2 linked regions of the Arabidopsis thaliana genome follow. The protein of the gene in region 2 interacts with the protein of the main gene of each other region in a pairwise test. Each region holds a gene or a part of one and is shown on either strand. Other genes may lie near its edges. The genes, in order: MBD02 and HB-7.

Region 1 (4,918 bases), on a different chromosome or scaffold from region 2:
GGCAGAAACATGTGGAATAAAGAAGTAATAGAAGAACTCTTTGAAGCAGATGAAGCACGATTGATACAAGGTTAAGATTAAGATCACAACCGTCCCCTGATGTACTAGGCTGGAACTACACAAAGCATGGGGAATACACATTCAAATCAAGTTATTGGCTCTGTACACATCTACCGAATCAACAACATGATTATGTTCCCCCACCAGGTTTACCCGAGTTTAAGAGAGTAGTATGGAAGCTAGACACGACACCAAAACTAAAGCACTTCATGTGGCGGATAGTAACTCAATCATTGGCGACAGGCGAGGCCTTGACACGACGACATATCATTTCAGATTCACAGTGTAAACGATGTTGTGCAGCTCCTGAAACATTAGAACGCCTATTCTTTGGATGCCATTATGTTCAAGCTATTTGGAGGGGCTCTCCGGTGTCACATACAGCGTTTTTCAATCCACACTTACCTTTTGAAGATAAATTCAGATTAATCCTTCAATGCTGTACTGATACGAGACAAGACCATATCACAAGACAAATACCTTTATGGATGTTGTGGCACATATGGAAGAGCAGGAATTTGTTAGTTTACCAGCGAAAAGGGAGTAATTGGCAAGATGATGTACAAAAAGCGATAACAGACTCATATGAGTGGATTCCTCTGCAGCGAGACACACAACGACGAAGTCTAAATGACAGAAGCGGGCAAGGGTAGCAAAAACCTATTCACGGCTTTATCAAATGCAATTATGACTGCAGTTTCTCAAGGAATGATCTAGCACCAAAGGCTGGTTGGATTTTACGAATTGACACAGGCAGTTATCTACTTGCGGCTCAAGGTACAAGACAACTATGCAACTCAGTGCTAGAAGCGGAACTACAGGCTCTCTTGATGGCAATGCAACATACATGGAGTAGAGGATATCGAAAGATTATATTTGAAGGTGATAATAGGACTGTGGAAAGCTTACTCAATGGGAACACAAGGAATTTTGAACTTCATAACCTCGTCATGGAGATACAACATTGGCGGAAGAAGTTTTCTACTGCCATTATCAAATGGTCTTTCCGGTCAACTAACAAAGCAGCTGATCGATTAGCTAAAGTGGAGTTAGAAAACATTGTTACTTTTGTCTCTCATTCTTATGTACCTCTGTTTCTTGTACAAATCCTCCATAGGATTACACATCATCCCTCTAATAAAGTATATCTGTTAATGTTAAAAAAAAATAAAAAAAAAAGAATCGGTTATTTTCGGGTTTTAAACTTAAAAACCAAAGAAACCAATATCCGAATCGAACCGAACCGTAATAAATTTCGGTTAGTTTCGGAAGAATTTTCAAAAATCCAAAATAACCGAAACCCGAAATAACCGACTCGGTTCGGTTCGGTTTACCCGAAGTCGCAGGCCTAATATTTTATATCAACAATTGACATATATTTTGACCCAAAAAAAAAAAATCAACAATTGACATATATTTGTTTTTATTAAAGTTTAATTTACATATTATGGAAGTCTCAAAATATTTGTTAAACAATGGCAAATATTTGTTAGACATATTTCATCTATTTAGCATGCACAACACGAATCCATATCTAATATTAGAAAGAATTATCCTTTGATTCTTTTTTTCTGAAGGAAATTTTGATTAATGGTAAGATTTGTTTATAAGCCCAAAAGCACAAATATTCTCCTACTTATAGCATGATATATTTTGAAGTGAATGTAAATTAAGAATTATTTTCGTAACAACAAATTTTATATTTATACAAAATAAATTAAATTCAGTTTCTTTCTCTCTTCTCTTTCTCGGTTTCCCCATTTTCTATCTAGACAAAGAGTGTTGTCTGAATTGGCTCTGTCTCAAAAAATGAAATTCTCAAATTAACCACAACGATCTTTAGAGCCTTCTTCGCTCACCGATCTCTGAAACCCTGGTTTGCTCTCGTCCTCTTCGTGTAACGATTCTTCTTCTTGATAAATTTTTAATCTTTGTTTCGGCTTTTCGATGAAATTGTTTTTTTTTTGGATCTCGTCTCTATCAGCTCATGTTCTTCTTTGATTATATGATAATTGTTGTTTCCTTTGCTCTGTTTTATGATTATTGTTGATTTTTGAGATTGAAATGTTCGAGGGTTTCTACTGTTCACTGTTCTTTACACGTATCAATGTTTTCTTGATCATGTTCTCTTATGATGTTAATAGAGAGACTAGTGTTATTGTGATGAATGATTCTTGTTAACTAAATTTGTCATTTTTGTTTTCACTTGACATTCATTTCTCTAACCATTTATTATAGGTAGTTTCTATGAGTATGTCGCAGTCTCGAGCTGTCCAAAGATCGTCTTCACCTAATGAGGATAGAGGTGAGAATCAGTTAGTGGTTTATGACTTGAAAGGAAATGATGATACTGAAGAAGAAGTTCTACCGGTTCAATCTCAGCCTTTGTCATCTAGAACACAGTGTCCCTCTATCGGGGCATTTACGGTTCAGTGTGCAAGTTGTTTCAAATGGAGACTCATGCCTTCAATGCAGAAGTATGAAGAGATTAGGGAACAGCTTCTTGAAAACCCGTTTTTCTGCGATACAGCGCGTGAGTGGAAGCCGGATATTTCTTGTGATGTTCCTGCTGATATCTATCAAGATGGAACTCGTCTTTGGGCTATTGATAAACCGAATATCTCTCGTCCACCCGCTGGCTGGCAACGTTTACTGCGGATTAGAGGTGAAGGAGGTACCAGATTTGCTGATGTGTATGTCGTTCGTTAACTCTTCTCTCATTTATGTTAATATTAGTCTTTCTTCTTTATACCATTGTATTGGCTTTCTTTATCATTCTTTTATCTTGGTTGTTTCAGTTATTATGTTGCTCCGTCTGGAAAGAAGCTTCGATCAACTGTGGAGGTCCAAAAGTTAGTTTCTCTACCACTCCATTTCCACATTTTCGTTTTCACATTTAACAAAGTGTTCCTTACTTTTATGTTTGATGAGGTCTCACTGTATCAGTCTTACCATTTTCGTCAACCAATATATTGAATCAGTAGGAACCTCAAGTATTGTTCTGTGGTCATAACTAGAGTTAGGCACTTATGCAAATTACAGAAATCCTTGCATGTGTTTTGTTTACTAACGAAAATGTACTATGCCAAGAAGTTAGTTAAACTATCATCCTTATTTCCATGATACTTCCCTGCAGCATTTGAGAGTGACAACAATGGTAGGAGAAAAAAGCTTAGTGACTTACCAATTCGTTTAGTGATTACCAAATTGTTTTCAGTGACGTATAGCTAGCTTCTTTACACCCTTATAACCACTATTACTGGTTTGCAGGTACTTGAATGACAACTCCGAATACATTGGAGAAGGGGTGAAACTTTCACAGTTCTCGTTTCAAATCCCGAAACCGCTGCAGGATGACTACGTGAGGAAGCGCCCAGCTCGACTACTGGATTCCATCGATAATACAAACACCCCTGTAGCTAAAGAAGGTGTGTTGCTTATCAAGGCACATAAATATAATTGTGGTTATCTTTTGTATCAAGGCTTTAGATTATTGATGTCATTTTTTCAGTCAAGAGTGTATTTGACGTATACTCGAACCGAACATTGGTGTCTTTAGGGAACTTTATTAACATGAAAACGTCTATGCTTTTACAAGTTTCTAACATTTCGCTTGTCTTGTTATTTTTCAGCTAATCCACTGGCATGGATATCTCCAGATGATCATATATCGTTGCAGCTAGGTACGCCAACCGAGTCTGGACTTAACAATTCACATTACCAACCATCGAAAAAGAAAAAAACATCGACGCTATCAATCTTTGGCTCCAACGACGAACTTGCTGATAGATAATCTAGCTAGACGAGAGTGAACTTATCTCGTCTTCTCTGGTATATAACCCGTCTTCTTTCTTCGTTTTTTGGGTTTGTCTTATCGAAGAAACTGAAAGCATGTGGTTAGCTTGTTTTTTGTGTATACCATCTATTTTGTTTTGCAGTGTAACATACTTTCTATGAAGAAGATGGGTCCTTTTGGTTTTTGCTTCCAAATAACTGGATTTTCATGCTGAAAGTTTTTAAACCTAAAGTTTGATTATTACCAAATTCCATTATCTCACAAATCCACTAGAGGACTGACACAAGAAAGCAGATAAGAATAGATCAGAGTCTGTTTAACTGTAGATGTGCATGTTAAGTTGGAACGTAGTTTATCTCAAAGGATATTTTAACGACATCCAAAAGATAACATTCGAAAGTCAAAACCATCCTAGGGGAGATATGGCTGAAGCTATTAGTTTGGTAAACATACAACAACAAAACTATGCCATATCTCTAATCTGCGCAAAAGGCAGAAACAAAAACTAACAACAAATCTGCCTTCTACTATCCTGCTTCGTGCATTCCCTATTCAGTTTTCCCGTGGTTAAGCCGTATCATCGGAACCAAGTGATGGGAGTGGGAGTAGTACTGACTTGAGGAAGCTGCGGAATCATACAGTTTTGCGCTTGCTGCCACGGATGCAAGCCAAAACCATAGGTGTGCTCTTGCTCTTGCTGCTGTCCTTGCTGAGGGAAAGATAGACTGGTGCTTCCAGTATCCTCTTCTATCTCATTGGATGCATCATCCATTACCACATCCTCACCTGTCTCATCCAACTCAGTAATCTCTAGTGTCCGCGGTTGTTGGAAGGTTCCTATGGACTGTGAGTAAGTAGACTGAGACGGATTCCAGCAAACAACAGCTTGACACTTGTTTAATCTCTCATCTTCATACTGATTATCATCAGCTATCGATACATCGCGAAGAAATCTATCTGCACAAGTGTTAACATTCAGAATTTAGACACAACCGTCTGTATTTAGTCAACATTCTGGATCACAAGTTAAAGGCAAACAAACAAAACGAACCAGAACAAAAT
Region 2 (4,396 bases):
AAGTTTCTGTTATAAAATCAACAAAAGAAATCAGAGGAAAAACTGAAAGAGCTCTTCATGATTTTGTAGACGCGTCTGAATTCACGGTTCGCACGAACTGGCCTTTCACTCGAGGACGTTGTTCTGCTAGCTTCTTCCTGCTCTGGTACCGAACCTGTAATCCATTTTTATACATCTCCATTGAATCAGTTTGATCTTGTATTTGTTTCAGATGCTGTTTTTATGATGAAGCTTGTGTGTCTCTTACCTTTTTGTCAAAGCATCGATCTTTCCTCTTCAACCGGAACTTCATCAATGCAGCTTCTCTCTGGCTTCTACTCCAACGTTGTTTCGCACTTTCTTCTTCCTTTGGTTTCTCTGTGCTACTGCTTTGTCCAGCAATCCCCTCATTGGTGCTTTGAGAACCAGCTTCTACTTCCTTGCTAGCTGCTTTCTCGCGATTTGATTCTACCGGTATGGGTGAATCTTGCTTCTGATTCGTTACTGTGGACTGAAGAACTTGGTTACGGAAGCTTACGCTTGATGATCCGATATTCTCCTGGTTGCTGCTCGTTGTGGAGCTTCCTTGATCAGATCTTACTTTTCTCAACTTTTCATGTGATTCGGTTGGTGTCTTTGGCTCACCTGAAGTACTCTCCTCTAAAGCAACGACGGCTTTTTCTGCTGACTTGCTTTCCTCAAATCTGCAAGTTAAATACATAAGAATTTGCGAATTGACTGACTCTGTTTTGATACTCTGCTTTTGTTGAGAAAAAAACAAAGTTTCTCCTTAAATCTTCCGAGTCAAGAAGATGTTAACTTGGGTTTCATGGTTCTTTTCGTGTTCCTAATATCAGTTTCTTCTCACCAACTTAGTTCTCTTCTTGATCTTTTACATATTAATGCATAACACTTTATATATATGATTTCTCCTGCTTTTGATTTTTATTCATCCAAATTTAGTCTTAAACTTACTACTTAGCTACAAAGCATGACGAGTACTTACTACTTAAAAACAGAATTACAAACACGAACTGAGAATATACGTCTTTCTAAACACATCATTTATACAGACAAAACCATACAATTTCAGCTCAAAATCCTGCAAAATTCTCGCTGAGAAACGAGTCATTTGCTGGACCGAATATCTCTATATCCGTGGCTCGGTTCATGCGATGTAGACCGGTAAATTTCGATTTGAATATGTATATATCCAATCTTTAGTCTCAATCTGTTTCATCTTCTTGTTTAGAGTTTATTGTTTTCATGACCAAAAATCCCGCCAAGGGTAATTGTTGCTGGATTGGTCCAAGAGAGTAGTAGTATCTGATTTGAAACCTCTCCAATCATCAGATGATGTCAAACAACTATCAGCTGGTTCAACAATGTTCATTAAGTGATCTGGTTCTTCCTCAAACCCACCAAAATACTCTCTCTTGATGTTGTTACTATAACCATTATCATCATCTTCATAATCATGATGATCACACATAACCCCATGATGACCCTTATCATCTTTCATCTCCATCTCCGGTCTAACCTCTTCCGGTTTACGCCTCCGGTTCTCTTCGTTTTCTGATTCATGATGTGTGCTGCTTAGAGCAACCACCGCTTGATCTCCACTACACTGCCTTTCCTCCTCCTGTGTCTTCTTTTGCGTCGCCTCTTTTAGCCTCTGCAACTACATAAAGGTATAAAACAACTCATCAACAATCTATTCTCTCCTTCAATAAACCATCAAAACAGAGTTTTTCTTGATCACCTAATCAGTCCTTAATTGCAATATAACCACTAAAGCACATATTTTATCACATATTTAAAACCACAGTTTTTCAGTATACAACCACAAAATACACAGATTTTAACTAACCATGTAAGAATAAACAGAGTTTAGAACATACCTCAGAGACTAAAGCTTGTTTTTCTTTCTTTAAGGACTCGAACTGAGAAGCCAAGTTGTCGTAGTTTTGTCTGAGAATGTTGTACTCAGTCTCGAGCTGCTTGGATTTCCAACGAGCCCTCTTGTTCTGAAACCATATAGCCACTTGCCTCGGCTGCAACCCTAGCTCTCTAGCTAATTGAACCTTCTTCCTTGGCTCAAGCCTTGTCTCAGACTCAAACATCATCTCCAGTGACTTGATCTGCTCGTCGCTAAACCTTCTCTGATTGTTCTTGTTGTGGTTGCTCTTCTTCATCTTCTTCATGGTCAAGAATGGCTCTGCTGACATCATCGCCGGAGAATATTCTCCACCTTCTGTCATCTCATCGGAATTTTTCCTCAGAGGATTTATGTTTTCTTTATTTTTATTTTTTGGAATCTCTATGTTTGTGTGATGTTGGCTATCTATATATGTGTGTTGATGAGGCTGAGATTATTATGTTAACAGTTATATAAAAATGTGATTTGTTGTTCTTTTTTGGGAGGGCTCCTTAGCATATAATAAGATATAACTTTGGGTTTGCTTTATCGTAAATTTTTTATTCATTTTTGAGTAAACGATTTGTGGGTCGACAGGTAGCAATAGGGCGGATTTTGGCTGTTTCTAGAGTCGTCGCTATCACTTGTTAAGTCGAGTTTCATTTCAACTCGAAACTAATCATCTAACTACTGATTAATAATTTCCACCTTTTTTATTTCTTTTACTTGTGACAAAATTAGTTTCGACTTAACAAGTGTTAGAAAATTAAATGATACAAAAAAATCTGCATACTACACAATTTACCGCATAGTAAACATTCTGGTCGATGTGAAAATGGAAATGGAACAACGGTTGCGTACCAATGTATTTAGTGATGTGGGTGCATATTAACAAATCCTGTTAAGTGGATCTTAAATAAAAATGAAGGGAATTATAATGGTTCATATAATGATTAGCATTTCTGAACTGATTACTAAACAATTATAATGGTTCATATAGGGAATTTCAGAAAATGAATAATCCTCATCTCCTATGCATATATCATCATGTGATTAATTATATTCTTTTCAGTACATCTCTGGTGAATTTTTAAATTTTTATGATTGTGTGCGACAGATTTAACGTTCAGAAGTCAGGATGTGTGACGGGTGTTTTTGTATACGTATGACACAAATCATAATTTTCTTAGAATGTGACTTTAATATTATTATACTTGCATTGTAAAACATATATTGATTACATCACAAATCTCAAAAACAAAACATTGTGACTTAAGTATGATGGGATACAATTTTTTCCAGCTATTTGCTTACGCAATTTTTTCTAATCGGAGATTTGATTTAGAATCAAAGCCTAAACTAATTTTTATAGATAAGTGTAATACAAGTTTACCTTCACCACACGTAAAACTTCCGTGCATGCGATTTGATAACTTTTTGCCAACTCTGTTGTGATCATTTGTTGACCCCTTCCTTACAAAAAGATATTTACTTCAGATTGAAAAATTGACAATACTATTATACTCGTAAACTATTTGTTTCTAATATCATATTTGAACTTATATGATAAATCACAGATATAATGATTCTTGAGAAAATTTTCTAAATTTTTCTTTTTTTCTGTTTTTATGTTAACAACACCATATTTATATATATTTTTAGAAAAAAAAACTAAATAGAAATGGCATATAATAGTTTTTTTCTAGAGTCTATATAACGTTATTTTTAAGAAAGTCTTCATACAACTGATTTCGCAAAATTTCTCTAGTTTAGTTTTACAAATTATGGTACTTCAAACCTCTATAAATGTTATGGTATTTTAAGAATGAATGCCTCGTGATTATTTAACAAACATTACTCCAAAGACAAAAGGCTAATTTTTCGTAACATTTCATCATTTGAATGGAAGCAAGTTAAATTTTTGCCAACAGGGAAACCATATTTGAGGCAGATTCCCTAGACTTTATTTTCTTCACGATAGCGATAACAATTTAACAATATTAGTATTAATGTGAAAAGCAACTTTAATTCTTGCTTTCCTGATTAGTTTAAGGTTTACGTTCACCTTGCTTGTCGGAAATTTCTTTTGACTAATTAATACAAGCAAAAATATTAAATTGGGCCATCTAGATAAGATATTTTCAAACCCTAATATTCTTTTTTTAATAATTAAATCTGATATTTGTAAAAAAAAACATAATTCGAAATTATATCTATCAAGTATCAACTAAAATTAAACCAAAAAGAAGTACCAACTAAAATTTAACGTAAGAGATCAATTTCTAAAGTCTTATTGAACTTATCAGAAAGTGGCAATCAAAAAGTATCAAAATCAGCCATCGAAAACTAGCCAAGTGTTATAATCAGAGATGAGAGTTCAATGCTTTGGGACATCAAAGTTGATAGAAGAGATGACATGGCAGTTGATCTGTGGTGGTGCCTGAATATTTTGGCCCAGCAAAGTACACACGTGTCGTGGTTAACTAGTATATCGCAATT

The links.
Region 1: the proteins of HB-7 (region 2) and MBD02 interact in binary tests that used the Arabidopsis thaliana proteins (3 or more experiments, as listed by UniProt).

Annotation. Positions count from the first base shown.
Region 1 is NC_003076.8:13,522,660-13,527,577, reverse strand, and holds MBD02 (methyl-CPG-binding domain protein 02), read left to right. Parts: upstream 1-1,779; 5' UTR 1,780-1,957; exon of another isoform or gene 1,958-2,302; 5' UTR 2,303-2,307; coding exon 2,308-2,753; intron 2,754-2,858; coding exon 2,859-2,912; intron 2,913-3,330; coding exon 3,331-3,488; intron 3,489-3,692; coding exon 3,693-3,853; 3' UTR 3,854-4,175; downstream 4,176-4,918. Other genes in the region: AT5G35320 (DBH-like monooxygenase), read right to left, coding at 4,434-4,813. UniProt on the Arabidopsis thaliana protein: Probable transcriptional regulator.
Region 2 is NC_003071.7:19,164,534-19,168,929, forward strand, and holds HB-7 (homeobox 7), read right to left. Parts: upstream 2,435-4,396; 5' UTR 2,241-2,434; coding exon 1,881-2,240; intron 1,661-1,880; coding exon 1,244-1,660; 3' UTR 741-1,243; downstream 1-740. Other genes in the region: AT2G46670 (CCT motif family protein), read right to left, coding at 56-154, 248-700. UniProt on the Arabidopsis thaliana protein: Probable transcription activator that may act as growth regulators in response to water deficit.